Linked DNA regions of Rattus norvegicus. The protein of the gene in region 7 purifies or fractionates together with the protein of the main gene of each other region. This does not show direct contact. Links are inferred from orthologs where the notes say so. Each region holds a gene or a part of one and is shown on either strand. Other genes may lie near its edges. The genes, in order: Hsp90b1, Acsl3, Timm50, Slc39a7, Lrpprc, Vapb and Erbb2.

Region 1 (4,125 bases), on a different chromosome or scaffold from region 7:
AAAGGACTAGGTAGTATCTATTTTTGGCTTTAGGAGCCATAAGGTCCCGTCAGTGATTACTGCCATTGTAGACAAAAGAATTTGTACTATAAAACTAGGTATGACTTCCAATAAACCTAATAAAAAACAGGCCAAGTCAGTTTGACTCACAGGTAGCCTGTGGACTTCCATCCAAACCCACGGTGAGCAGAAGCTCCTTTCACACCAGAATAACCTACTGATGCGGTGCCTGGTTTCTGAGTATCAGTTTTTAAAAGGAAACAGTTTTTTAAGTCACCTTAATCTTGACCGTCAACTCCTCATTTCCAGCAAGTGCATTTTCATCAGTTAGTGAGATGAGCCTTATCTTGTCTAAAGCATCAGAAGCATTTGAAATCAGTTCTCTCAGGAAAATCTAAAAGGAAGAAGCCAGATTTAATGAAGTGGGACTAACCTCCAGGCACAGTAAGGTGTTGGTTCTTATGGCCAACTCCTCTCCTTTCTCCTCAGAAGCATGAAAAGGCACTCTTTAAGAACCAAGCCTTTTCTAGTGCCAGGGATGGCTTTACTCTCTTCATAAAAAAGGAGGCGTGACTCTATAAAGCTCTGTGGCAAGTACAAGGGATATCTGAAGCGGTGGGAACAGGACTACCTCTCCCACCCCCTCAGTGGTACAGCTGTGTGACTCCACCTCAGCCAGCACGTCATAACCTTATTCTGAGCTGAAAGGAAAGCTGGGGACATTGTCTACTCCCTTCCCACCCCAATATGTACCAGTAGCAATTCTCATTCATAATCTACCACAAAAGGAGCAGAGCTGCTGTCCTAACCGTGTGATGCTTACCTCTTTATTTTTATACAAAGAATTGATGATAAGTTTCATCATCCTGTTAACTTCAGCTTGGAAGGCGAACTTTTCCGATTTTTCTCTAAGTTCCCTTATTTGTGATGCATTTAAACCATCCAACTGAATAGCTTCTTCCTCTCTAAGGAAATCAAAATAGATAAGCAAATACTTAGTTTCATTTTTCTAAGTCTCTACTCAGGATACACCTTTGTAAAAGACCACTAACATACCAGCTCACTCTTACACAGAAATGGGTGCTATACTTAATGCTGGGCTGCAAAGATTTACAAAAATTCCCAGAAATACACACCCAGCTCCCATCTACTGAAAAGCAAGTCATGATTCGTGTATGCCTATGCAGTGAACACTTTGATCAAAATTTAAAACACACCTCACCCAGTGAAAAGCCCCTTTCTTAAAAAAAGTTACAGGCATAAGTTCTATTTTTCATAGTACTAACTTCACGAAAATAAAAACCAATCTGAAGTCTTCTGTCAGGTCTTAGAGGCCTACAACTTCGTCATCGGTTTTCTGATTTTGGATGCCGAGGCTTATTCCTAGCACCTCCTTCAACTTTCCTTCTTCTTTTTTTTTTTCTTCCCCCCGGAGCTGGGGACCAAACCCAGGGCCTTGCAAGCGCTCTACCACTGAGCTAAATCCCCAACCCCACAACTTTCCTTCTTGAATCAGTAGTCACTCCTAGGAGCAGACTGACCTAGGAGAGTTCTGCATGCAGATAAATGGGCCCTCCTAAGAACTCCCTGGTTATTTTGTATCATTAGCAACATTTCACACACTGCACATTGTAATCTCAATGTCTGGAGAACAAAAACAGCCAATGTGTCCCACTAACTTGCAGAGTTTATCAGCATAGTTTCAAATGCACTGACCTCTGCACAACTTCATCGTCTGTCCGTGAGCCTTCTCTACTTTTACCCAGGTCCTCTTCTACCGTGCCATCCACATCGACTTCATCGTCAGCTCTCACAAACCCTGAGGAGAAAGGTTAAAACTCTCAATACTACTGCTTCCTCTCCTTCCCATATACAGACAGACCAAGCAGGGCAAGAGGGAGGGTTAACACAATTCAGCGACGTGATGGAAAAATGATGTATTGACGTTAGTAACCAATGTCAAGGCATGTTTGCGCGCTGAAGTTTAAATGTGAATGCTCAAGACTCCCCCGTTGACTCTGGAAGGCCAGGCAGCCATCACTCATGTCTATCGTTCCTTAGACACAAGGCAGTGAGTGATACAGGCTCCCGTCTACACCCACACGTGTTGCGCACAGCCGAGAGCAGGCCTCCACACAGGCCAAGCCAAAACTTGGGCCTCGCTTAACTATCACAGGTCGGAATGCAAACAGGGTTTGTGCAACTTCTGTTGAGGGGAACTGAAATCCGGCCCAAAGGGGAAGACATGTCAAGGACCGCGCTTGAAGCACATCGGAATCGGATACTGGGCCACCGCCACCAAGCTGGCCCGAGGGCCCACGCTCGCGAGTCGGGCGTTAGAAAACAGAAACACGCTCTGGAAGAACCAGAGGGCAGGGGCTAGGGGTCCTCAGGCTCGGGTGGCCAAAGGTCGGACCTGATGACAAAAGTCCTTAGGGAGGGGCCCCAGCAAGGTTTCCCCCGTGAGTAGAGTCCGAGAGGCCGCGCCCCGCCAGCGAGACTTCGGGGAGCGCTCCAGCTCCATCCGCAGAGTATTTAAATACCGCGGCTCCAAGTCTCCTCTTCCCAGAGGCCTCAGGGCAAGGCATCATCACCCGAGTCCCCTTCGAGGAAAGGACATAGTGCCTGGACCCTCTGTAGCCCCCGGCATCCCCCTCCCAGGCTCAACGCCCCAAGAACGTTCGAGAAGCGGCCGCGCAGGAAGGTGGGGGGGCGCCCGATCACTCACCGAAGGTCAGCAGGACGCAGCAGAGGCCCAGCACCCACAGGACCCTCATGGTGCGTGGCCGGAGAGTCGCAAGTCCTTTTCGGTCGCAGGAGCCGCCTCCACCCCCCCAACCCGGAGTCTCAGGTCCTCACACCTCCAGCAGCGCGGTCCGCCCACTAAACCGCGCGCAGGTCGGGCCGCTTTTCACCCCACAGCTTGCGGGCGGGGGACGGGAAACACGAACCCACCAATCGTGCCTCACCACGCACTCTCTGCACCCAATGGGGACGCATGGGGGGGACCGCAACTCGCCAATCGGAACTGTCCAGGTGCGGTGCCCGATGCCCGAAGCGTGGCTCCTTTCGATTGGGTTTGTCCAGCAGCTTTTCTCCAATCAAATGGCTCCGCGGGCCCCTCACACACCGGGCCACCCCTTGGCCTGGGAAGCCTTGGTCTCTGAGGAAAACCGTCCAATGAATGTAGGCGCATAGCACGTCTGTCCTTTCCTAGAGGTCCCGGGGAACCACTTCCGGCTCTTAGAGAACGTTTGTTCCGTGACTAGGGGAAACCGTAGCCAAGACAATGTGGTTTATACCCTTTTCCCGTCTACGACGTGGGTCACGTTACGAGCCCTTTCAGCGCTACGTTCGCCGTCACCTTTCTTTTGGGCGTTTCTTTTCGCAAAAGAGAAATTTGTGAGGGGTTGAATATCCGGAGTGCGTTTGGATGGTGGTGAGAAACTACAGTTTCCGGCATGCAACGCGCTAGTCTCAAGAATGCTGGGAATTGTAGTCTCTGGCGTCTAAGCCAGTTGCGTAGTTTGGCCCTTGCGCTTACTCTGGTCTTGTGTCCGCGGGAAATGTCTCCTGAGTGATTTAGATTTCCACCTAATTCGGATTGCAGAATAGATCTATGCTTGTTCTAGGACTCTAATGCACACAATTTTCAGAGGCGGCTTTGGAAAGTCGCCCCGCGTGGCCCTAGTCTCGCCGTGTCAGAGGGCCAGCTACGGATTCTGGGCTCCGCCTCTGGCTGATGGTAGCACGCCGGTTTCCAGGTCGGCTTTCTAGCGCGTCATTCAGGTTTTCACTTGGCGTTGCGCTGCCCGCAACTCCAGACCTCTCTGGTTTGATTTGCAGTAGAGGGTGGTGGGGGTTCACCAACCCCCAAGGAAACTCCAAGAACCCAAGTTCCTTTGACATCCCCATTAAATATCAAGGAATGACCTGGCAATCTAGAGTCCCTCTTGTGATTCGGCTGGAGAGCACGGTGGTGAAGTCCAGGCTAGCATAGAACAGGAAAGGACATTTGCAGATACTTGAAAGCAAAAGCCGCAGTGCTTGCAAAATAGCCTGGATTGTGGCTTTGTAACTTCATAGAAACACCTTTCCGCCTTCCGACAGACAGCAAGAGAGGCT
Region 2 (3,658 bases), on a different chromosome or scaffold from region 7:
AGCTGCCTGGTTCTCAGATGACAGCACCTACCTTCTGTAATTGTTCCAGCCCCAGTAGATTCTGTGAGTCCATACCCCTGGCCAACGGGACAACAGAAGCAGATATTCATGAATCGCTGTGTCGTTGCAGAAAGTGGAGCACCACCGCACAATAAAACGCGAATATTTCCACCCAGCAGCCTTCGGACATTCCGGAAAACAAAGCTGAAATATCATTAGAAAATTCAAGACGTTTAAAACAGTGTGGTAGTTTGAATGAATGGGCTCAACAAGTTCACACACTTGAATGTTTGGTTCCCAGTTGTTGGAAGGATTAGTAGGTATAGTCCTTTAGGAGGAGGGATGCCGCAAGAGGCAGGCTCTGAGGTTTCTAACACCAGCACCATTCCCACTCTGTCTGCTGCCTATGGATCAGGATGTAAGCTCTCAGCCACCTTGCAGGCCAGCCAGTGCTCCCCACCATGATGGCCTAAGCCCTCTGAAACTAAATGTGTCCAATTGAATGCTTTCTTTTATAAGCTGCCTTAGTTGTGGTGCCTCCTCAGTTTTCTTATATGGCCTGTGAGATTATATATAATCGATGTGATACAGCCCATTGAGGAGCTTCTCTTGGGTCCATATGTCTGTCTTAAGTGTGAGTAGTTCTATCAGCAAAGAAAATGCCATGTACTCTTAATTAATTTCCATGTGATAGTAAATCATATACAATTGTTTCCTGTGGGCAAGTGGACTATAAAACAACACAGAACTGGCAGTGCTGAGTGGGCCCAAACGCATGAACTCAGAATTGAGAAAGGTACGAGTGGGGCCTGCTCCCTGCCACACTCCACCTGCTCTGGATCCCATAAATCAGTCACGTGGGGAAAACACCTCAAGTCCTCCTTCCCCCTGCTAATAGAGCATCACTAGCTTCTCAAACTGAGCCAGTAGGAAGTATCTTGCCCTGGATCCCACCCCACTCCTCAATGTTTATAAAGTCCCTATCCACATGGAGTAAAGTACATGAGTTATTTCACTGAGAATCGTCTGAGAGTGGTTGTTTTACTGAGCTGTTAACACTTTGGAGAAAGTTTTCTCTCGGGAAGCATTCGTCATTGGAACTTAGACACAGCTAGCAAACCAGGCACACATCCCTGTCGTCCCTCCCACTGCTGCCACCTATCATTGCCGACTGCTGCTGCCCCTGCCACTGTGGTACAGGGCAAGACCCGGGACCCCAGCTACCTGCCCTGCACGGGCTTCCCTTCTGAGACCCACAGAACCCCTGGTTTTACAGAGGATGAAAGTTTGTTGTATCAGAAATCCCTTTTTATGATCAGAGAACTCATTACCATACATATTTATGAATACCACATCTTCACATAATTTGTAAAAAGCTAATTTCTGCTTTTATTTATTCACTAGAAATTTATGCATATTTATATATAACAAGCTCTTTAAAGTCTAATGTAAGTTCTGAAGTTTTTATTACAGCTATGGTAAAAAAAATTATATGGTAAATTATGAGAAATAAAAATATCTATTTGATATGTTTCTGTAAAACACTAGTAAAGACATTGCTTATAAGTCAAAAGCAGGTAGTGCTTAGGTTTAATTTAATGTCCAGAACCATGGAAATGAAAACTTGTTAAGCACTATGAAAGGGATTAAGACTCAAGGGCAACCATTTGAGAAGCTGTGTTGAGGCTGACCATGTGGTGGCACGTGCCCCTTCAATCTCTTTGCCACCTAAGCTATCCAGACTCTAATCTTAGCACGCAGAAGGCAGAGGCAGGTGAGTTCTAGCCAGGGAAACTCTCATTGGGGAAGGCGACACTGAGGCCAGGAGGCACTGGTGTCCGACTATCGCTCTCCCTCCACCCATGCTTTTACAGTAAAAGTGAACCAGCTCTCCAGCCTCCAGCTTTGAACTCTGAATCTCCTCCCCTTACTTCCCAACTGCAGGGTTCCAGCCTGCGCTGCATACACACCCATCTTAATGTCTATGTACCACGTGTACTGCTCCACTTCCCTGGGCTGTTGATGGGAACTCTGCTGCCATAGTTTTACTCACAGAGGCTTTACTCACCGGTCACACAGTGGGGTACTACACCCTTTTGAAATCTGCTCCATCTTATAATTATATGCCAAAATAAACAAGTTTCGTTGAAAAGCACTCATTTCATTCACTTTATTCATGACATTTTTGTAGATCCGATCCATGATTTCCTAGGTGCATAAATGAGTTCATTAACTGTATGAGCAAGCTTCACATTTAAATCAGACCCATGTAATTAATACTTCTAATTATTTTATGTGTGTTGTAGGACAACGCATGGCTGTGCCCTGGTGCCTATGTGAAGGTTGAAGGACAATTAATGATATGGACTTGAATCTCTCCTTCCACCTTTACACGGGTTCTAGGCATTGGACTAGGTCCTCAGATTGCACACCAAGCACTTTGTCTTAAATGATGTCACCACCCATCACCTGTGGCAGTTCTTACCGGCACAGCCGCCATCAGCGTGGGCTTCAGAACGGATGTGTCTCCTTTGCTTCCTTTCTTTATTTTTGAAGACTACAGAACAGAAAAAAATAATCTACATAAAGATCTTTAACACATAATGGCATTCTTAGTTCAAAGGCATATATTTACTGTCAGTGTATTTATTTATATTCTAGACATACAGGGCAAGAATTTAAAAGGAATTGAAGATACCATGTAAGCTGATGAAGAAAACATGTTAAAAACACACAGCATTTCACGTCACACATGTGTCACTCACCTGATCTGCTAATGTCTGTGGTGAAGAGTAGCCAATCCGGCATCCATGAGAAAGACACACAAGCTCAGCGCTTAATTCTAGAACATGTGCCAGGGGCAAATATCCAATGTATACATCTTCCTCTCTGAAAGAAAGGCCGATAAGAGCCAAGGTTAAGGTGGAAACGTCTAGCATCTTTGGAAAGTTAGTTATGTCAAATATGTTTTACAGGGTGGGGCACACAGATGAAAGGCTGTCTTACTTAAAAGCAAACACGTGAAAGAGCGTTTTCCTGAAGCAGACACAGGTGAAAGGATATTTGATATAGCGAACACATGGAAGGACCTGTGATGAAGTTGTATATAATAAATATGACCCCACATTAGACAAAAGGAACAAGTACTGAACTTTGATTTGGTTTGCTCTGCCTCACTATTCTTCCTAATGACGTGCATGTTTACCTTACATAGCATTGTTGAGCTCAACTGTGGTAAGGCCACCACTGAGAGAAACTCGCCAGAGAACTGCTTGTGAGGTTCCTGATGCAGCTTGCCACTTCAGTGGCCTCACCTCAGGCCTGTGGACAAGCCTTGTGGTTTTTCCAGGATTCAACTACAGCTTCTGGTTTGTGCCTGGTGTCTGCCTGCTGAGACCTGGACTATGGCTGCCAGTTCATGGGTGGTGTCTGCCTGCCTAGAACTGCTCTGCAGCTGCTGAGTCGTATTTGCTACAGGACTGAACCACTGAGAAAGAAGATCGAGTTCACCCCCAGACAACTACTGCTGAACAGGTCCACTTCCCCCATATCCCAATAACTTTTCTTTTCTACTACCCCTCTGTTGGGTGGTGGGCCAGAGCAGAGGTTGAATGAACTCTTATTAAAAGATGTGTGCCCACAAAAGGTCATGGAAGCT
Region 3 (4,151 bases), on a different chromosome or scaffold from region 7:
CATTGGAGCCAGTTTAAACCAGTTGACATGCTTTAACCTCCCATGTCTACCTGCCCAGTTTAGATCATTTGTTTAAACCAGTGGGGAGCCCGGCATGGTAGTTCAGGCCTTTAATCCCAACAACTGGGAGAAGAGACAAGTGGAGCTGTGTGGGCTTGGGATTAGCCTGGTCTACACAGTGAGCTCCAGGACAGCCAGGGCTACATAGAGATACCCTGTCTCAAAAACAAACAGGAAAAAAAATAAATAAAACAAGGGGGCTGACCCCTGTCCAGTTAAAAGGGCAGACTCACCCATCTGCCGTGTGTAAACAAAGCCATCAGTGCCTGTCCATGCTGTCTGCACACCTTCCACCCAAACACAGCCCTTTCTGACCCACCTAGGGAATGGTCAGGTAAAAACTACAACTACTCCCCATCTAACTTATCAGAAGTTCCTTGACAAACTCTGCTCAGTCTGGGTGGAAGGGTGGAGAAGCAGGGGCAGAGGCATAGACATAGACATTGTTTTGGAAAGGACGCATGTGTTGGAGTAGGGACTTAGGGATTAAAAAAAAAGAGGGTGTTATAAAAGAGTGGGGTCAGGGGCTGCAGATGTCTAGATCTAAGGCAAAGAAAGCCTGTGTCTGGGATGGACTGATGACGCTCCCTGCCCCCATCTGTTCCTGACCATCTGCTCCAGGGCGGAGGGGCCAGGAAAGGGAGCTGGGGCTTTTGTCATCCCTTCCCTGAGCCATCTAACTGTTGCACCTCCATAGGCGGAGGAGGGGTTGGTGTACAGGACAGGGCAATAGCACTCTAAACAAATAAAATAGCAGAGGTGTGAACCCCAGATCTTTGTTTAATCACTCACCGCTGTCGAATTCATCAGGAATCTGGGGGAGGAAAAAGGAAAGGTTTGAAATGGCAGAGGCAGGACACCAGCACATCCACTCTGGGAGCTCAAGGCTAAGTAGACAAAGGTCCCAGGAGAAGGGAGATGCTCCCTCCAGACTACAGAAGAGCTTGAACCAACGGAAAGGAACCTGTCCACACCCTTACAGAACACACTCCTCCTCACCTTGGTGCCATTTTCATCCACGGGGTTGTTTCCTGCAAGGGAGGGACAGAGACAAATAAAGAAACTGGAGCCTAGTCTGCTCGGTCTGGAGGGGGAGAATAGGGGGTCTGAACTCCCCACTCAAAGGGAATATTACTAGAGGCACAGCTCCTGGATTAAAGGAGGAAGAGGTGGAGGCAAGGATTCCAAGTGGGCTGAGGCTAAGAAGGATACACAAGGGTTAGTTTTTTCTGCTGAGATGAACACATAGCTTCAGGCACCATGATAGTTATTTCTCCCTTGTCCTATTCTTCCCGCCGTCCCCTTAGTTCCTGAATTCAGGTACAGGGAACGACTAGAGGATAGGGATAGAAGGGGACTTCTTGAATTTCAAGGTGAGTATCCTAGTTGATGGCCTTATTGAGGGAGGAGTCAGGGAATGAACTCAGCATGAAGAAAGAAAAGGGAGTTTCACAGTAGATATCTGGGGCCAACAATTGAGGGTTATGTCTCTTACCAAAAATGTAGACGATGCTGACAGTCCCACCAGCCCCAAGCAAACCAGCAATCCACAGTGCAACTTTTTTGGCATAGCTGGGACCCTCTGAGCCTGGCTGATGCTGTGGCCCTTGGGTCTTGGAGCCCCCACGGTTGGCGATCTCAGTAACCTGAGTGGAGGGGGAAGGAGGAGAAGTCATAGAAAGAAAAATAACAGAATACTCTGACACTAAATTTGGTCCAAGTAGACTCAAGATCAAGAGCCAGGAAGTGGACACCCAGAGCAGAAAACTGTAAGTTCAGAGGTTGATCCCCTCAGAGGGTTAAAACTAAACTGTCGGGTTGGGGATTTAGCTCAGCGGTAGAGCGCTTGCCTAGCATGCGAAAGGCCCTGGGTTCGTCCCCAGCTCCGAAAAAAAACAAAACAAAACAAAACAAAACAAAACAAAAAAAAAAAAAACTAAACTGTCTAGAGAATCACAGGGGTTCAAGAGCTGAAAGGTCAGATTGCCCAAGGTCTTGGAACCAATAGGGCTGCAAAGTCTGGAGCCAGGAAGAGTAGGGCAAGGAGAATAAGGGATGGGTGTGTGTGTGTGTATGTACGTGTTAGCTGGGGATGTCAAAACTAAGAGGACAGAGGACACCCATGGGACAGGACGAACAGCTGAGATATTCGGACACCCAGAGCCCAAGATGGAGGGTTTGAAAGGGAAGGAAGCAGGGGCGAGGAGAGGCTATCCCTTGTCTGGACTTAGGGAACGGAAAGTCATGAACTTGGAGGTCAGAATGGCTGGGTCGAAACGGACGGCAGACTGGATCCTTCCTGTTTCTCTCGCTCACTGTTGCGAATGAAATGTCACTGGGACAGAGCCCGGGTCTCTGGCGTCCTGGGCCCCTCCCCCGTCAAGTATCACCTGAATGGTCACTGATAACAGAACAGGTGACCTCTCCCGGCACCCACGTGGTTGAGACTTGGGCTCCACGGGATGCACTTGGGGGCTTCCATAATCCAGCCCTTGGGGAGCAACTACGGTCCACACAGGAAGCATGGAAACATCGAAAACACCGGCTCCGTCCCACTCAGCACCCTGAGGTGCGGTACTCCAGACTCGCCGGGTTGCGACCATACGCCCAAAACTTTAGAAAAGAGCCCCATAACGGGGCGCAGGTTCCGGCGCCACTTACCTGTTCTGGAGTGCGGGGAGGTGGCGGCGCCAGCCGCGTGCACAGTCCCCGCGCGCCTACCCGGAGCCCGCTCCGCAAGCGCGAGAAGAGAGCTGCCGAGGCCGCCATCTTGCGCTGACGCCACGCGGCCCCGCCCACTCGCTCCCTCTCTCCCGCCCAGGAGAGGACTACGACCAATGGGATCGCTGAGGTGGTGCGTGTGGACAGGAGCCCGACAGGGACAAAAAGGAGTGGGCGGAGTACCTTAGGTGCTCTCCTAGTCGGTTTTTTTCAGGCTATCCCCGAGCGCGAAATTGGAATACTGTCATCTGGTACCACGCCCCCTGGGACCCTAAGGACGGCCACCATCCAGTCGCTCGGACTTTGGCATTCACCTTCCATTGTCAGATATGGACAGAGGCCCAAAAAATGGGCTAACTGGCAGCCCTCAATTTTTCTCACGTGGACTAGGAGGTTGAGTCGGTCTCCTTTCGCGTCTCTTTTTACCCCTTCCGCCGTGAGTTTCTAGAAAGGACTGGAGATCTACCAATCATCTGGATTCAACCAAAGCAACTTTCCGTGCTGACTAGTTTGAGGTTTGAGAGTGATTAAGAAAGCAGTGAACTTGGGGTACGTTGTTTTCTATTGATTGATTCATTCATTCACTCACTCACTCATTTATTCACTCATCCATTCGTTCATTCATTCATTTTAAATGAGTGCACAGTCTGCGTGTACTCCTGCGTGCCAGAAGAGAGCATCATATCTCTTTAAAGATTGAAGTCAGGCCCTCTGGAAGAGCAGAGTACTCTTTTTTTTTTTTTAATTTTTAAAATTAGATACATTTCTTCATTTACATTTCAAATGTTATTCCCTTTCCCGGTTTCCTGTTCATAAGCCCCCATCCTCTTCCCCTCCCCTATATGGGTCCCCCCTCTGACATTCCCCTGCACTGGTGGTCCAACCTTGGCAGGACCAAGGGCTTCCTTTCCACTGGTGCCCCAACAAGACTATTCTCTGCTACATATGCAGTTGGAGCCCTGGGTCAGTCCATGTAGAGCCTTTGGGTAGTGGTTTAGTCCCTGGAAGCTCTGGTTGGTTGGCGTTGTTGTTTTTATGGGGTTGCAAACTCCTTCAGCTCTTTCAATCCTTCCTCTAATTCCCCCAAAGGGGGTCCTGTTCTTAGTTCAGTGGTTTGCTGCTAGCATTGACCTCTATATTGGACATGCTCTGGATGTGTCTCTCAGGAGAGATCTATATCTGGTCCCTGTCAGCATGCACTTTTTAGCTTCATCAATCTTACCTAGTTTTGGTGGCTGTATATATATATGGGCCACATGTGGGGCAGGCTCTGAATGGCCATTCCTTCAGTCTCTGCTCAAAACTTTACCTCCACATCCCCTCCTATGGATATTTTTCCCCCTTTTAAGAAGGAGTGGGAGCATCCTTTT
Region 4 (4,454 bases), on a different chromosome or scaffold from region 7:
AAGATGCCATTCTCCAGGCTGAGCCTCCTGACAATGCACTGGCCAGGGTCCCAACTGCCTTTATTTTGGAGTTAGGGGTAGGACAGGTCACCCACCCCTCACTCAAGATGGGCAATCAGTACCATCATGGCAACGCCCCCCAGCAGCCCCAGCACCTCCAAGAGAGACTGTAACGGGGATGCCTCTCTCAGTAGCTCAGGTAGCACGGACACTGTTGCCACATAGATGAATCCACCTGCAGTGAATGGCAGAACCCAGCCGGGACCTGCACCACCAGCCACCTCACTGCCCACTGCCCCTCCCTCAGTGAGAAGGGCACAGGCTGTGCCTGCCAATGCTCCAATTGCAGTCAAGAGTTGCAGACGCATCGCCTGGAGGGCAGAAAGGAGAAAGACAGGATCATCAACAACTAAAGGTTGGGGGACCAGTGGGGTACAGCTGTGTGGTGTCCATGTAAGGATAGGAGACAGAAAGTGAGGTGGGGAGATGGACCCATTGTAGTATCTGCTGCACAAACACCAGGGCAGGAGTCTGGGCCCCAGGCACCAGCACAGGAAGCAGAGGCAAGCAGCTGCCTGGGGCTCCCTGGCTAGTTAACATGTCAGCAATGAGACTGCCTCAGGACCACACCCAAGGCCCCCAGCCCCATACCAGCCTGGTAAAAATAAAGGGTCGAGGAGGGGGTACTAGAACAGACATCTCCTGAGAAACTGTAGGCCATCAGAGGCCCTTTCCAGGCTGTACTTATGGGAGGGTTGAGATTCGGAGATAGAGAAGCAACTTTCCCGGGTTCTAAAAGGCTGGATGGTAGTGTAGCTCGTGAGGAACCAATGGCAGGCTGTCAGCACCAACCTGTTTCTTGCTGCAGCCAGACTGGACCAAGATGGCAAAGTCCCCAACCTCATGAGGCACTTCATGCAGCAGGACTGTCATCGTGGTCAGGATCCCAAGCCCTCGGCCCCCACGGAAGGAAGCACCAATGGCCAGCCCGTCTGTGAAGTTGTGTGCCAAGTCAGCAGCCAGATTCAGGTACCCAGACACACGCAGGTCTTTTTGTAAATAGACAAAGGACAAAAATGACTGAAGGTGTCATCACCACCAGTCCTCGAGCTGTTTCGTGCATGCTCACACACGCATGCACACTCCATTTCCTAGAGCCCCACCGTCACCCACAGCAAACACTCTGAGAAACTCAGAGTAGTAAGCCCATCAACTCATCCCTTACCTGAGCCTGTTTTTTCTTCTTCAGGGTTCTGAGGTTTCAGAGGGCCATCTCTGGGCCCCGTGTCTCCTCCTCTCCTTTTCCGCAAGCCCCCTGCTTCCTTTTCATCCTCTGAACTGGGCTTTCCCTTTGAAGGACACTCTGAGGGGGACAGGAGTTGATCAGAGTGGGGAACAGAGCTTTTTCCGTGTCCTGCTCCAGCGGATGAGCCTGAGCGTGTTGTGTAGCAGGCAATGGGGGTGGGCTCACCATGCCTATCCCCGTGTGCGTGGCTGTGTCCGTGCGCGTGGCTGTCTCCGTGCGAGTGTCCGTGTCCGTGCGCGTGCGCGTGTCCGTGCCCTCCTTTCACGTGTCTCACAAACTTCTCCACCACAAGAAAGGCGACAATCCCACTGAGAACCCACAGCCCCACAGAGAGAATGGGGCCCTGGCCTGGGATGGAGGAATGAGGCATGAGGGCGATGCAGACTCAGATATAAGTGCTGAAGGAAGGGAAGAGGCAGGCCTCTCCCAGCGTCCCAGTCCCTAACTCTTTCTCACCGCTGTGGGAGTGTCCGTGGCCAGGCTGTGCCGGAGTATCGTGCGAATGAGGTTCTACAGGAAGAAGGGAAAAAGGACAGATGGGGGATGTGTACTTGAGAACTATTGGGAGACCTGGGATCATTAAAGAGGACGAACAAAACAGCTTGTGTTTCTGAGATGGAGCCCACATGTCACTTACCCAAGGCGTGAGGGATGAGGTGGAGGAAGGCATCTCCCAGGAGCCCCCCAGAAGCAAAACTGAGCAGGATCTGGAGCAGAGAACGATGCCTGGGAGAGTTTGACTCCACAGGGATGAGGAAGAGCACGAAGAAGGGAGCCGCGGAGATTAGCACTGTGGCCCCCAGTGCCTGGAGGAGAGTCAGAAAGCAAATATGGAGTCTTCCAACAATTAAGCACCAGTCCCTCTTCCCCACGTCCCCCGGGGACTCACATAGGCCCAGAGGGTGACAGTGTCCAGGTGGTGCTTGATGCCTGGAGCCCCAGCCTCCCTAGAGGCTCCATGGCTATGTCCATGTCCTCTGTGGTGGAGGCTATCGTGGGAGTGGCCATGGCTATGGCCATGGTGCACATCCTCCCGTGAATGTCCATGGTCGTGGCTGTGGGCATGCCCATGCCAGATGCTCTCATGAGTGTGGCCATGGCCATGGCTGTGGCCATGGTGGAAATCTTCATGTGAGTGTCCGTGGCTGTGGCCATGGAAGTCCTCTTCCACGTCTCTGTGCAGGTCACCATGACCCTCGTGTCCGGCTACCAGCAGCCCCAAAGCTGCCCAGGTCAGCAGTCCCACAGCCACCCAGTGGGGGTCCCGCAGGACCCTGGCCATCACGCTGACCAGAGGAACAGAGACGAGTCTACTTGACTCTCTACCTATGCGGGATCCGCTTCCCTTGAAGCCCTTCCGTCCACTCTATACCACTTGCTCCCCTCTTACATTGTTCCCAAGGCCAGTTCTCTTCATCCCCGACACCCTTCCTGGATGCAGCTCCCCCAAACCTCCCACCCCCCAACACCGCTCTAGCCTTTGATCCGCAACTTTACGGTCTCTCTGGGCCCTCGTCTCTATGGCTCAGTAGTTAGGGTAAAAGCATGGAAAGCGCCGTAAGGGAGCAGCAGGGAGTTCTCACCGGCTCCGGGATCCTCTCCGTTCTCGGTTTGCTGGGACGTGGCACTCGCGCCTCAAGCTCCCGCGAGATCCGGAAGTTCCCTCTTGCCTGCGCCCCGCTACCTTTACCAACATGGCGGCGCCCCGAGGACGGCGCGGCCACGGCCCCAGGGCGCATGCGCGCACCCGGGGGTTATCTGAGGGGACGGCGGGCGAAGTGGCTGACAGGCCGGCGGAGACCGCCTCCTCCGTTTCCATCTCGGCGAGGGGGCGGGAGCTCGAGGCGAGACTTCCCGTCTATACAAAGATGGCGGCCGCGTCGGTGCTGTCACCTCGGTGCCGAGCCGAGCGCGGCGCTTGAGTCGCGCTGCCACAGGCCGGAGCCCGCCCTCCTCGGCGGCTTCCTCGCGCTCCCTGAGTCCCCCGCTCTGCCCCCTGCGCGTCCCTGGCGCCTCTCCGGCTCCCCCACCCTCGGCCCCGGCGTCATGTCTTGGGCCACTCGTCCGCCCTTCCTCCCGCCGCGGCATGCCGCGGGGCAGTGTGGGCCGGTGGGGGTGAGAAAAGAGATGCATTGTGGGGTCGCGTCCCGGTGGCGGCGGCGGCGGCCCTGGCTGGATCCCGCGGCGGCGGCGGCCGGAGAGCAGCAAACCCTGGAGCCGGAGCCGGGGGAGGCTGGCCGGGACGGGATGGGCGACAGCGGGCGGGGTGAGTGTCCCGTGGGCCCGGGCCGGCGCCCCTCGCGCCCCCTCCCCGCTCTCCCGCCCCCTTGTTTGTAAACACGCGCCCTCTCCATCCCGAGGCCCAGCGCCCTCCCCCGGGGCGGGGCGCGGCGGGGGAGCTTCCGCCCTCCAGGTGCGGCGCCGCGGGGCCAGTGTGTGCGGTCTCGGGCGTGGGAAGGACACCATTCCCCTTGGGCTGGAGGACTCTGGGCTTTGGAAGGCTGAGCTTGCGCTCTGGGACTGGGTATATCTTCCATACTCTTCGCCCCGAATGTTCTAAGTTGGGAACGAGGGGTTCACTGGTGCACCTCCACGTGCTTCTTGACACCCCCCTCCCGAGGTCAGCTTGGGATGACCCAATAGGCTCCGCCTGAACTGCCTCCCTTTTTTTTTTTTTTTTTTTTTGTCAACCGCCTCCTCTCCCAGCTTTTAGGAGTGAAATTGTTTGATGACTTGGTGTTTCTGAACTCTGGGGTTGTGGGCTGTGGTGGATCGGGGAGAATTAAAAGTGTCCATTTGGGTGATCGAGAGACTCAACTTTCTCTTCTTGTCTCTCCTGTCTGTGTGTCTGTCTTATGTACCCACTTCTCAGATTCCCGAAGCCCAGACAGCTCCTCCCCAAATCCCCTTTCCCAGGGGATCCCTCCCTCTTCTCCTCCCGGTCCACCTCACACCCCTTCAGCACCTCCACCTCCAATGCCACCCCCTCCACTGGGCTCCCCCTTCCCAGTCATCAGTTCTTCCATGGGGTCTCCTGGCTTGCCCCCTCCGGCTCCCCCAGGATTCTCCGGGCCTGTCAGCAGCCCTCAGGTGAGAAGTTGTGACACTTTCAATTCCTTGTTCTCAGCTTCTTACCCCCACCCCCACG
Region 5 (3,658 bases), on a different chromosome or scaffold from region 7:
GTTACTCCCTGGGCTCCCTGTGCAGAAACAGGTGACGGGTCAGGTGACAGCCCAACAGCTCCGAGGCAACGCCAAAGCTTAATCTGCAGCTTATAAGTGGTTTGCAAATCTTCAGGCTTTTCGAGATCAAGAAGAATATCCCTTAATTATCCACAGCCTCCTGGCTCAACAAAGACAAGGCCGTACCCAAACACCGCCCGATCCACATCATCAGTACACATTACAATTTAAAGTTCTAACAGTGTCTGCTTTAAGAAGCCTAAGGTTATGAAACTTCGTAATCTGTAAAACTAATGAGTCCAAAGAAAGCAAATTTTTAAGCGTATCTGCTACACGCCAAAGGCTAAGCATCTCGGTATCATGAAGATGACAAAAGGCACATAAGGACTCATCATTATCAAACTCAAGCTCATCTCCATGTCCCTGAAAATGACTTTAAGACGAAACAAAAATAAGTGTGCACTGTATAATTCTATCTATAAGTCCATCCAGAGCAAGCGCCTAAGAGGGCAGAAACTAAACATGCACTGTATAGCTCTATCTATAAGTCCATCCAGAGCAAGCACCTAAGAGGGCAGGCAGAAAATAGCTTGTGTGTGCCTAGGACTGGAAAGGGTGAGAAGGGCTGGGGAGGGTGACCATGGAAAAGTTGTGACAGATGAACAGCTCTGAGTGGATGGGAGGTTCTGGTCCTTGAGTGCATGTGACTGTGACTGTCATAGAAGCTCTGCTCCATACCAAAGGGACACCCCTAACAGGCTCTGGGAGTGTATAGAATTTCTTCAACTGCACACAAAATTATACGTGTTGGTTCGCTGCAGTTGTGATGTGAGGGAAAGCCTGGGAATAAAGGGTCTGCAGCTCCTGTCCCACTATCCAAGATCAAAGTGACCTGGTGCCTGTCAGTCTTCACTGAGGTCACCTCAGGAAAAGCTGATACCACACAAAGAAAGAAGAGAAAGCCTGGTGTCTTCTACCTCAGCTGACCACTGAGAGCAACTCTAGAAACCAGAGGAAGCAAACAGACGTTTTTGTTTGTTGACTCTGAAATGAACTCTAAACAAAATATTCTCGTGTTACTTCAAATTCTGCCTGGATGAATTGGAAGCATAGCAGGATCAGAGTCACAGCTGACATCAGAACTGATGCTGAATAGCAAATGATGCTCTCCCCAGTGAGCTTCCAGGAACCGTTACAAGCTTCGACTTCCTACCGAGAAACTCTCAATACCTGAGCGGCACGTGCTCTCAAAGACTTTCTGCAGAAGCCCCTTGGTAATGCGGCCCGTTCTCCGGACAGAATTATCCAGTCTCATTAGGGCCCAATCAAACTGACTGCCACTCCTTCTCACAGGAGCAGGCTCCTCTGGAAGATCCTTTTTTTCAGCGACGATGGCATACAACCTGGCTTGGCTCAGCAGCTCTCTGTGAAATGAAATAGAATTAGTAATAAACTAAGCAAACTGCTGTCTACACAGGCACTGCTTGTGTGACCCGTCCACACCAGCTCCGACAGTCACCACACACAAACTGCAAAGCCTGGAGCAAAGTGTACACTGAAGCAAATCAATCAATCAATCAATCAATCAATCAATCAATCTCTCTCTCTCACACACACATACACACACACACACACACACACACACACACACACAAACACACACACTGCTTCTGAGTGGATTGATAACCTTCAACATGAAGTCATCTCAAACTAAGAAGCTAAAATTATTTTCCCTTAATGAAGGAAAAATGAGGCAGCTCATAACGCACTCTTCTCATTCATGTGAGTGAGACAAAGGCCAAGGCAGCCTCCAAACTCTAAACTACCTTCAGGGTTTTGTCTGGGCATAAGTTTATTATGGCCATAACTTGGTTACGTCATTATGAACATAACTAGGTCCGAGGCACCCGCTTTCATGACTCTGAGTCAACACGCTGTTTGAATGCTTCCCTCGGTCTTTAAAGTAATAACTGTCAAAAATAAAACTGCACTCTGGCTTAAACAGTTTTAAAGATGTCATAAGCTAAAATTAGAATAATACATGTTTCTACAGAATAAGCAATCTTTTTTCTTTTTTCTTTTTTCTTTTTTTTGGAAATAGGAACTCATTCAGTCCAGGCTGGCCTGGAACTTCCAAAAGAACCAACAATAACTTTGAACTTGTAGTTTTCCTGCTTTTCCCTCTGCTGGGCTAGCAGGCCTGCACCACAGTTTACTCGGTGCAGGGATGGGGCCCGTGCTAATGAAGCCCCCAAAAATCTGAGCTACTGATATCTCCAGAAGAAACTCTTTAAATCAATATTTGATAATGCAGCTTAATATACAATTGAATGTTCATAAACATGTTATCAGTGGTGCTTCATGTTATAGGAATTAATGCTGTACTTGATGACAAACCAAGAAAAAAAAAATCCCTAGATGTAAAAATTACTGTCATAAATCTTTGATTTTGACAGGCTTTCTGTGAATTCAATATCTTACCTTTTAACATATGCAATTCTTGGGGATCTACTCCAAATATCTTATTTTCAGCTGCCATTGTTATACTAAGTATTATGCCTAAAAATGTTAACTCAAGAAATACTTCCAGAATAACCACATTCTCTGGATTGTAGACCACCTTTTACCAGCGGTGGTGAGCTAAGTGCGTAAGTCAGTAATGGAGCACTCGCTTAGTGTGCAAAAGGCCCTAGGTCTGATCTCACTGTCCCCAAAGCCACCGTTTTCCTGCATCACAAACTGACTGTATGTGAAGTGGCATCAAAAGCTGTGTCACATGCAAACCAGAGTCTGTAACTAATACTGTTGTAGAAATTACACCAGTGACCAGAGACAATCACAACACCTGACCATCATATATACAGAAATAAATCAGAAACTATGGGGGTGGGGAGGGATATCGCCAAGTAAGGTGATATCCTCTGCACATCATGTGCACGAGTGAGAGTGAGAGAGTGAGAGAATGAGAGAGTGTGAGAGAGTGAGAGAGAGAGAGAGAGAGGGAGGGAGAGGTGGGTGTTATCACCCACAGACCAGAGAAGATGCATATTGCCCCCTATGGTTATCCATTACTATAATAATCATCAAAAACTACTGATAACTCAGAACACGTGCACTGATTCATACAATGCAGAACTTTTTGCGCAGTAGAGGTGAACTTGCTGACTTCTATGCCACTCAAATCAGATGACTATTGATGAGCACACCCACGACTTCTTTTTACATCCTGGCTGCAGTTTACCCATTTCCCCTCCCTCCTCTCCTAGTCCCCGCCTCCCGTAACTCCCCCATCACACCTGTTTCTCTTCAGGAGAGGGCGGGCTAGATATTCTCCAGCCTCTGGCATACCAAGTTGCAGTAAGACTAGCACCTCCTCTTCTCTTAGAGCTAGAAAAGGCAGCCCAGTAGGAGGAAAGGGTTCCAAAGGCAGCAGGCGACAGCAGAGACAGCCCCTGCTCCCACTGTTAGGAGTCCCACGGGAAGACCAAGCTATACAACTGCAACGTATGTGTGGAGGGCCGAGGGCAATGCCATGCAGTCCCTGGTTAATGGAGCTTTAAATGATAGTATACATTACCACCACCACCACTGCCGCCACCACCACCTCCACCACCACCACAGTCCAGGGCTTCCCATATGCAAAGGAAACACTCTATCC
Region 6 (4,168 bases), on a different chromosome or scaffold from region 7:
ATGAAGGAGCCCAGTTAAATCTGAAGGTTCTCACCCTCAAATGAATTCCCTTAACACAAAGAGCCAATTTACTGGGCCTCTCATTTTACCACCTCAGCACTCAGCTTAAAGCAAACAAACCAAGAAACTGAACACCCCAGTTGGGATTGGTGGTGCCACATACAATCCCAGCACCAGGGAGTTATGGCAGGAAAACCACTCGCTCCATACTGGCCTGAAAGCTTAGTGAGACTTCATCTGCAAGGCAAAGGCTCCACACTAATACATGGCTGGCACTCACAAGAAACACCCCCCAACCCCCATCAAGTTTCCACACATCCCTGGACGACTCTTCCAGAGTGAAGACATTCGGACACTAAACCCCTGGACTATCTCCTTGGCAACCAGTGATGTTGGCTGGAGAAGTGTCACCTTCTTAGCACCACCACCGACCCAAAGGTAAGAGGGCAAATGGCACCCTAGGTCACACACACTGAATTGGAAGAGCTGGAACACTCTCCTCCTTCAGAGGCAGTAGTGTATGGGGGCTTGGGGTATCAAGATCAGTCAAGTCATTACACCCAGTGGGTGTGTAGACCTGACACTGTGTACTAGCCAGTCTGGCCCTCTACTCTGACCCGCAACTCCTAACCACAGCATCTCCAAGAAGCAAGTACTCCGGCTTATAGACCTCCATGCACAGTACTGGCCAGGCCCGGACACTCCCACCCACTTCCCCCTTTCTGCCACTGGACCTTTGTAACCAGATTCAATGATACTCTGTCACCTCCCATTCCCTGGGAAGTTGTTTCCCCACACTCTCTAGTCTGGGTCACCTCATCTGCCCCCTTTTTCCCTGGATGCAAAGGAAAGGTGGGTGTCGGAGAACAGCAGCCGAGAAAACCAACTGACATGACAGCCCCTCCCTAAATTGAAAATATGTCTACGTAAAAGTGGATTCAACCTACTTGACTTTTCTGAACATCACCACTGATCTCAACATGCTCCAGACTTACATCAGCCTACAGGCCCACAGAACCCTATAGCACAAAGTCCATCTGATCCCAACAGGCTATCCAAAGATGTGTTAAACCAGCAATACCAGCAACGGGGAAGCAGAGACAGAAGGATCATGTCAGCCTGAGTGGACCTCAGACGGTGAGAACTACAGATCTCAAAGAGAAGGCCAGTGCGACAGTCGGCAGACAAAAGCACTGCTATGCCAGACGCCTGCGAATTGTCTTCTGACCTCCACACACTCACTGTGACACACATACCCCTCACACACACGATACATAAACACACAATAAATAAAAACACACGCCGAAGAGCTTCCGTGCATGTGCACCCCCCACCACAGAGATGGACACTCTGTAGACATGAGGGGATGCAAACACAAAACAATTATGCAGAGGTACAGTGATAACCAGATGGCGGCGGTTCACGGCTGTGCGGTCATGCACAGGTCCATAACCTGGAAAAGGATCAGAATTCAAATTCCCAAACAGTTGCTACCAAAGGCACACCACTTTCCTGTCACTACCAAGTGGGATTCCTGGTAAGTGGGGGAGGGGGGGACCTCTGGTGCGGAGGATCCACATTTAAACGGATGCTTTTATTTAAAATCTGTTGTGTACGTGTCTGTGTGTTTGTTCACAAGCCTGCTAGGCTGCACCTGCTGGGGGTAAGAGGACAACATGCAGAAGTCAGTTCTCTCTTTTGACCATGTGAGTCTCAGGGATTGAACTAAAGTCCTCAGCCTGGGCAGCAGGAGCTTTTAAATGGTGAACCATCTCTACAGCCCAGGGTCAGGCGGCCTGAGGTTTGTGTTTCTAGGTTAACCGGAGGGCCTTTGCTTCCTTGTAAGTGTCTTTGCACACTCTGAACCTGGAAGGCAAGGTGGACATTCACAGCTATGAAGCATTTCCCAAGAGTTTGTGGGTACGATGGCTAAAAGTGTTTGAAAGTCCGAAATCAGGACTCAAAGGCGACGACTAGGTAAGAGCTGTGATCCTACGCTACTTCCCAACGGCAGAGAAACGGGTGACTCTCAGCCACCCAAAACCGTGAGCACCAGCTGTGGCCTACATGTAGGCAATACACAGAGGATCACATTGGCCAACCTGAAGCACACCTCCATTGAGTCCAACTTCATCCTTCCCTTCCCAGTACTTCCAGCCGCCTGCCGCCATCTTGCTTAGGTTGTTGAGCTTTATAGGCCTCCAGTGCCCAGTCTCATGACTCAAAATATGCAACGAAGCAAGGAACAGGCTGGGCACGGACCCTGTTGCTTTCTGGACCTTAAAATTAGTGAATAGAAATATGAATACACACATACACACACACTTCTGTGTGTATATACACATATATAGTACATGTATGTATACACACTATCTATAACATGCATATGCCATGCATACACATCTGTATAAATGCACTTTTTTAGTCACCTGTGCACGCCTGCGTGTATAAAGTTCACCTTTACACACAAATGTATACAAAAAGTGTACTACATAGAAAGTATGCACAGACTTCGTGGGCTGTAGACCCCCGACAGCTCGCTGCCCCGGGGGAGCTGAGGAGAAGAGTACTCAGGCCGATTCCATGCACTGACTCCACATGCATGCATTAGGCGCCTGGTGCATGCCGGCCTCAGGCGGACAGTGTCCTGCCCTCAGGGCGCGTCCCTTCCGGAGCCGGCCGCTGAGTGACAGCTCCCGGGTCGGCCGCCCGCTTACCTCGGAACTTGAGCTCGTGCTGTGGCTCGAGACTCAGGACCTGCTCCACCTTCGCCATGGTCCTCCCCGTCGGGGGCGGCGGCGCGGGCGGGGGGCGGCGGCCTGGGTGGCGGGGCACAGGGGCGGAGGGCGAGGCCGCGGTGCCGGGCGAGCTCACGGCACGCACGCACGTATGTACGCACGCCCCGACGCACGCACGTACGCACGCACGTAGCAGCTGCCGGGCTCCGGCAGTGGCCAGAGGCTACAGCGGCAAAATGAAGACTGCGCATGCGCACGGTTTTCTGGGCCACTGCGCAGGCGCAGCCGGGAGGTTGAGGGCGGAGCCTCCGTGGCAGTGGGCGTGGTCTCTCGAGGCTTGGGAGGAGGGGGCGGTCTCCAGCTAGACTGTTCAGTAAGCGCCTGTGGGGAAAACTGTTGTTAAGTGCTTTACTTAATAATAATAATTAACAAGAATAAACTTCCACTTTCTTCACGCACGTGTGGTGCCAGGCTCTACTGAGCCTGAATATAATAAAGTACTTATTATTCTTACAAACACAATGTTTACTTACGGGTTAGTGATATGTGCCAGGCCTTGTGACAGTTCATAAATAACAATTATAAAATATAATAAACTGGCAATTACTGTTTGCTTATTTCGTGCCACTCTGCTGAATGCTTTCAGTAACTGTCATAAATAAAAGCTACTCTGCATTCAGTGTTTACCAAACCACAGAGCACTACACCGAACCGTTTGCTGATAGCATTATTTGTTTATGCAAGAAATATTCAGAAATACAATAACCAGAAAACGACCCGCTTCAGACCTTGCTAGGACCTCACTGAGAGAATAAATTAGTTACACACATAAATCTCATTAAAAGTGTCTGGGAGCCTAGCTCAGTCTAATGCCCAAAATAAGCCCTGTATGCTCTTATTAGCGTGTGACTAGTATTTCATTGTGTAAACATATACTATGTAAAACAGACCCTAATAGCATCCTCATCAGACATTCGTATATGGGGTAAATATGGCTCTATATGGCAGGAATATCCATGTTGTTCATGAATTTCCCATGTTCTATATACCTGAGCTCGTTTTCCCAGTAAAAGTTTTCAAGGGGTAGTCTCTGTCTTTTAGCTTGTGCATCTAGTCCATTTATACTTATTATATTTGCTGTTGTACCCAGATTTATTTCTGCCACCTTATGTTGTTTCTCCCATTGGATGTACTGTTTCTTTGCCTCTCATTTCTTGCTCTTCAAGATTGGTTTTTCCTCTCAATCTGTTCTCTCCGTGTGTGTTCTGTTACTGCTGCTTCAGTGCTTTAACTTTTTAATGCGTGTAATGCTTTATGAAAGCCTAGCTTTTATGACATTTGTGTTCTGCTGTCTTGAAGTTGAAGGGCTGCAGTTCATCATCGTCACCCACTCCTCAATTATATGCCTTGTGCTTTTGAATGAAACACAT
Region 7 (4,221 bases):
ACAAGATTCAGAGACGGTCAGTTAGTTGCCTAAGGTCACACAGCTAGTATGTGATAGAGTGAAGATATGAACTCAGGTCTTCTGGATACCAGAGTCCCATGTTCTCTGGTCCCTAGTGTGGAAGTGTCTACCTGAAACTGTGTTTCAGTTCAATGAAAGTAGATTAAGTGAGGGCCACCCTTCATTTCCCACCCCCAAAGACAACTCCGATTGCATTTTGACCAGCACAGGTGTGTCCTTGACTGGAACATTCCAAGTACCATCACCAGATTTAGCAAATAAAAAGGAAGGTTGCAATGAAGTTCAATTTGAATTTCAGATAAACGACGGTAATTCATCCGTGTAAACATGTCTCCTGCCATGTGTTCTTGAAATTTCCAACAAAAGGCATGCCTTTCTTCCCGTTCCTCACCTGTCACCAGGCTTCAGGAGTGGCATCTAGGTATTTCAGGGTTAGATTGGCAGGAGAAAAGGACAGGGACAGAGGAGACGCTGAATGAAACTGAGTACTGTGTGAAGTCATAGAGAAGCAGGCATGGGGCTGGAGAAATGGCTTAGCAGTTCAGAACATGCACTGCACTTGCAGAGGACCCAAGTCCTGTTTCCAGCACCAAAGAGGGCAGCACCCGACTGCCTGTACCTCCAGCTTCGGGGATTCCCACTTCCTCTTCTGACCTACGTGGACAATTGCACTTATGTGACACCCCCCCAACCCACATATGAATACACATAATTTGAAATAAAAATAAGTCTTAAAAAGAGAAAAAAATAAAAAAAAGAAACAGGCGAAGCTGTTCTTCCGAGGACCGAGATCCCCAACCCCATGTGACTGTCTCCTCTTAGTTCTGTGGGTTCCTCTAAGATCAGGCTGGAGATACCCAAAAGTATAGAATTGATATCCCAGAGCGTCCTGGAAGTCACCAGTTAACACAACACATCCTCTTCCCAGGCTGTCGATTTTACCTGAGGATGTGGCGGCAGACCCAGTATTTGATATCAAGAGGGTGATGCAAACGTCCCAGGAGTGTTCAAGATAAAACCGGAGACTGCAAAGACGGGTAAAGGGATGCTGTGCTTTTAGGAAGTGGATGAGAACTGCAAGCAAGCAAGCAAGCAAGCAAGCAAGCAAGCAAGCAAGCAAGCAAGCAAGCTAGGCGTCGGGGCACAGGGCACGGCGCACCCAGGCCTGCGCCGGGAGGGAGAAAGTGAAGCTGGGAGCAGCCACTCCCAGTCTTGCTGGAATGCAGTTGGAGGGGTGGGGGGGCGAGCCGAGAGCGCGCGGCTCCCAATCACGGGCGGAGGAGGAGGTGGAGGAGGAGGGCTGCTCGAGGAAGTGCGGCGTGAAGTTGTGGAGCTGAGATTGCCCGCCGCTGGGGACCCGGAGCCCAGGAGCGCCCCTTCCCAGGCGGCCCCTTCCGGCGCCGCGCCTGTGCCTGCCCTCGCCGCGCCCCGCGCCCGCAGCCTGGTCCAGCCTGAGCCATGGGGCCGGAGCCGCAATGATCATCATGGAGCTGGCGGCCTGGTGCCGCTGGGGGTTCCTCCTCGCCCTCCTGCCCCCCGGAATCGCGGGCACCCAAGGTGGGTCTTGGCTTGGGAAGGGCTCTGGCCGCTGTGGCTGCGCCCACGGGCGGCCGGAGCCGCGGAGCTCCGAGAGCTCTACGGCCGGGAGGTCCGGGGCGATGGGGCGATTCCGGCTGCCGGCACCGCGGCCCGGAGGAGATCGGAGCAGCTGGGGATGGGACAGCCACTCGGAGGACCACACTGGAAGTCCAGACCGGCCCCTTCTGGCCACACCGGAGCTTCCCGGACTCCAGGAGACTCCGGGAACTCCTCGGCAAAGTTCTCTGAAACTGGTCCGAAAGTTTTCCTCCGGAGGGTGTGTGAAGCGCTGTGCGTGCGTGCGCCTGTTTCCCCCTTTCAGAGCCCCTTCACGCTTTCTCAGCTCCTCCAGTTGGCAGCCTCCGCCTCCGGACCGGACTGGGGAGGATGCCTTCGGGGTCCCTTCTGCCCCGCCCCTCCCCCTCCCCACCCCCTTCGGCCCTTTGGGTTTAGTAAGTTACTCCAGCTTCCAGCGGGGTCGCCGTGGAGGGGGCGGTGGGGGAAAGTAACCCGTCCTGTGGAGCAGGGAGGACCGAGTGGCGGGTCCGCGTTGAGTTGCTTCTCTGACGGTGTCTGGGATTTGGGGGAGCAGGGGAGGAGGGGCAGGCATTTGTTTTGAACAGTTTTTCTTTCTCTTTCTTCTGTGCTGGGGATGGGACACCCCCACCCTCCATCCCGGTCTCGCGCGTTAGGCAAGCCCTCTACCACTGGGCTGCATACTCCACAGACCTGTTCTGAACAAATTTCCATAGAGCCAGCTTAAGTACTGTGTGCTTTGGGATTCTGGGAAAGCTCGGCTCTTGAAGGGTGGTCTTGTGTTTTTCCGGCTTCCGTACAGTAAAGTCGGAAGGGTTCCTGGACATTTGCGGGGAGGGCATCGAAAAGAAGTCAGGTCAGCTAAGGGTGGACAGAGAGGTTGTTTTCTTGCCTCTGTCTGTGTGTTGGGGGCTGGGAGGGTGACCCGGCAGTGTGTATACCGACCCATATGTCCAGTTCTACCATAAGCGTAAAAGCCGATAGTCACTCCTTGTGGGTCAGCTCTGCCAGGCTCCGTGGGTGGCGGTTTGCACGCATTCCTTCTTCTGTACTGAGAACAACTCCACAGTGGAAACATTAGTAGCTTTCTCATTGTCCCAGGGTGAAAACCTGGGCTGGGGAAATGAAGTATCATAGAATAAGCGGTGGACCCCAGGCAGTGTGACCAGCCACAGGATATGAGATATGAGTCACAGAAATGCGAGTCTACCAGGACAGTGGGGACACGGCTTCCCTAATCAGTGGGCTGTACTGAAGATGCAGAAAACAGGTTCTGGGAGCAGTAGATGTTTTCCAGAGGCCAGGGAGCCTGGAGGCTGGTGGGGTATCACCATCTATGCCCCGACCTCCGGCCCCCATTCTATCAGTACACCCTGTGCTTTCTGTGGGATACCCCTGTATGTCTGAGGTGTTTATGATGGTTATGTGTTCGTGCGTCCGTCCGGGTTTCTGTTGCCAAATAGCAATCTCTCTGCTGACCTGGGGACACGGGATGAACTCTGCCCTCTCTAGGAACTCCCTCAAGGTTCTGGGCTCTATCTGTTGTAAACACTGGGAGATGCCCCTTGCCTTGTTGGGATTGAAGTCTCCTTTCAGTTTCTCAGGAGGCCAGCCTTCCTTCTGACTTTCCGTTGGGAAGAGTGAGGCTAGGCCCTTGCCCTGAGTTGGGTCTGCTGCTGGCCAGGACTGAACTGCTCTGTGCTGTGGAGCAGGAGGGGGAGGGGTCTGCTCGCCAGACAGAGCGGAGGGCTGCTGAGACGTCATCCCTTCAGATGCACTGCTAGGTGCAGAGGGGTAAGACGGTTTGTCTTGCCAGGAATGGTTTTAAAAAAAAAAAAGAAAGAAAAAAAAAAAAAAGGCAGTGCACCATCCGCTGCCTCGAGCTCCGGGTTCTACCTCAGAACCGGTCTTGGGCAGGTGTATAGGGGAAAGGAGATATGGAGAGGCCCAGAGAGTCAAGATGTTGCTGGGCTTCTATGTACTTAAGGTTTTGCAAAACGCAGTAAACACAGGTCTTTACCTTTGCAAGGCTTATATCTATTTCAATTCTAGTATGATTCTCTCCGAGCCCCTCCTACCTTTTGCTATACAGGGACGAAAGAGATTCCTCTTGCAGAGGAGGACCTGGGGGTCTCTCAGGTCCCAGTTCTCACACGGTGGCTCACGACCACCGGTAACTCCACTACTAGGAGCTTTGATGCTTAATTCTGACCTCCACAGGCGTGATGTGTGTAGTGTTCACACAAGGGCAGGCAAAATACTCACGCACATCCAATAAAACAAACCCTAACAAGAGAAAAGAAAAATATACCGCATTTCAAAACCAAATGGGAAGGTCTTTCTCTTTTCTCCTGTAACTACCCAGATCCTTCTAAGTGCGTCTCTCCCGTTCTAAAAACTTCTGTGTGCTTCCTACACAGCAGATCCCTTTTCGTAGATGGCATTGTGCCCTCTCTGCGCTGTCCTGTGGAGCAGGTGTGTACAGAAAAAAGCTCTACTTCAGAGAAGTGAAGAGACGTATCGGGGGGGCCTTTAGAGGTGGTCAGAGTTGTAGTCATCAAACAGGAATGGACTAGGAAAGCCTCA

Evidence for each region.
Region 1: the proteins of Erbb2 (region 7) and Hsp90b1 purify together in Homo sapiens (affinity purification with western blotting; 3 studies listed by BioGRID and IntAct, with this or other methods). This does not show direct contact. The link is inferred for Rattus norvegicus from reciprocal best matches to the Homo sapiens genes ERBB2 and HSP90B1.
Region 2: the proteins of Erbb2 (region 7) and Acsl3 purify together in Homo sapiens (affinity purification with mass spectrometry; 3 studies listed by BioGRID and IntAct, with this or other methods). This does not show direct contact. The link is inferred for Rattus norvegicus from reciprocal best matches to the Homo sapiens genes ERBB2 and ACSL3.
Region 3: the proteins of Erbb2 (region 7) and Timm50 purify together in Homo sapiens (affinity purification with mass spectrometry; 3 studies listed by BioGRID and IntAct, with this or other methods). This does not show direct contact. The link is inferred for Rattus norvegicus from reciprocal best matches to the Homo sapiens genes ERBB2 and TIMM50.
Region 4: the proteins of Erbb2 (region 7) and Slc39a7 purify together in Homo sapiens (affinity purification with mass spectrometry; 3 studies listed by BioGRID and IntAct, with this or other methods). This does not show direct contact. The link is inferred for Rattus norvegicus from reciprocal best matches to the Homo sapiens genes ERBB2 and SLC39A7.
Region 5: the proteins of Erbb2 (region 7) and Lrpprc purify together in Homo sapiens (affinity purification with mass spectrometry; 3 studies listed by BioGRID and IntAct, with this or other methods). This does not show direct contact. The link is inferred for Rattus norvegicus from reciprocal best matches to the Homo sapiens genes ERBB2 and LRPPRC.
Region 6: the proteins of Erbb2 (region 7) and Vapb purify together in Homo sapiens (affinity purification with mass spectrometry; 3 studies listed by BioGRID and IntAct, with this or other methods). This does not show direct contact. The link is inferred for Rattus norvegicus from reciprocal best matches to the Homo sapiens genes ERBB2 and VAPB.

What each region holds. Positions count from the first base shown.
Region 1 is NC_086025.1:23,009,393-23,013,517, forward strand, and holds the start of Hsp90b1 (endoplasmin precursor), read right to left. Parts: upstream 2,902-4,125; 5' UTR 2,778-2,901; coding exon 2,729-2,777; intron 1,820-2,728; coding exon 1,717-1,819; intron 966-1,716; coding exon 824-965; intron 395-823; coding exon 278-394; intron 1-277.
Region 2 is NC_086027.1:87,601,471-87,605,128, reverse strand, and holds part of Acsl3 (fatty acid CoA ligase Acsl3), read right to left. Parts: intron 2,890-3,658; coding exon 2,766-2,889; intron 2,558-2,765; coding exon 2,486-2,557; intron 2,209-2,485; coding exon 2,069-2,208; intron 205-2,068; coding exon 32-204; intron 1-31. UniProt on the Homo sapiens protein: Acyl-CoA synthetases (ACSL) activates long-chain fatty acids for both synthesis of cellular lipids, and degradation via beta-oxidation.
Region 3 is NC_086019.1:92,707,455-92,711,605, forward strand, and holds the start of Timm50 (mitochondrial import inner membrane translocase subunit TIM50), read right to left. Parts: upstream 2,858-4,151; 5' UTR 2,830-2,857; coding exon 2,722-2,829; intron 1,707-2,721; coding exon 1,556-1,706; intron 1,092-1,555; coding exon 1,060-1,091; intron 875-1,059; coding exon 853-874; intron 1-852. UniProt on the Homo sapiens protein: Essential component of the TIM23 complex, a complex that mediates the translocation of transit peptide-containing proteins across the mitochondrial inner membrane. Has some phosphatase activity in vitro; however such activity may not be relevant in vivo.
Region 4 is NC_086038.1:4,823,558-4,828,011, reverse strand, and holds the start of Slc39a7 (zinc transporter SLC39A7 precursor), read right to left. Parts: upstream 2,890-4,454; 5' UTR 2,589-2,889; coding exon 2,196-2,588; intron 2,113-2,195; coding exon 1,944-2,112; intron 1,817-1,943; coding exon 1,763-1,816; intron 1,655-1,762; coding exon 1,472-1,654; intron 1,364-1,471; coding exon 1,226-1,363; intron 1,050-1,225; coding exon 853-1,049; intron 372-852; coding exon 99-371; 3' UTR 1-98. Other genes in the region: Rxrb (retinoic acid receptor RXR-beta), read left to right, coding at 3,044-3,572, 4,179-4,396. UniProt on the Homo sapiens protein: Transports Zn(2+) from the endoplasmic reticulum (ER)/Golgi apparatus to the cytosol, playing an essential role in the regulation of cytosolic zinc levels.
Region 5 is NC_086024.1:15,622,601-15,626,258, reverse strand, and holds part of Lrpprc (leucine-rich PPR motif-containing protein, mitochondrial precursor), read right to left. Parts: intron 1,425-3,658; coding exon 1,231-1,424; intron 18-1,230; coding exon 1-17. UniProt on the Homo sapiens protein: May play a role in RNA metabolism in both nuclei and mitochondria. In the nucleus binds to HNRPA1-associated poly(A) mRNAs and is part of nmRNP complexes at late stages of mRNA maturation which are possibly associated with nuclear mRNA export.
Region 6 is NC_086021.1:182,952,970-182,957,137, reverse strand, and holds the start of Vapb (vesicle-associated membrane protein-associated protein B), read right to left. Parts: upstream 2,892-4,168; 5' UTR 2,776-2,891; coding exon 2,718-2,775; intron 2,255-2,717; exon of another isoform or gene 2,172-2,254; coding exon of another isoform or gene 2,114-2,171; intron 1-2,113. UniProt on the Homo sapiens protein: Endoplasmic reticulum (ER)-anchored protein that mediates the formation of contact sites between the ER and endosomes via interaction with FFAT motif-containing proteins such as STARD3 or WDR44.
Region 7 is NC_086028.1:83,906,210-83,910,430, forward strand, and holds the start of Erbb2 (receptor tyrosine-protein kinase erbB-2 precursor), read left to right. Parts: upstream 1-1,391; 5' UTR 1,392-1,496; coding exon 1,497-1,578; intron 1,579-4,221. UniProt on the Homo sapiens protein: Protein tyrosine kinase that is part of several cell surface receptor complexes, but that apparently needs a coreceptor for ligand binding. Essential component of a neuregulin-receptor complex, although neuregulins do not interact with it alone.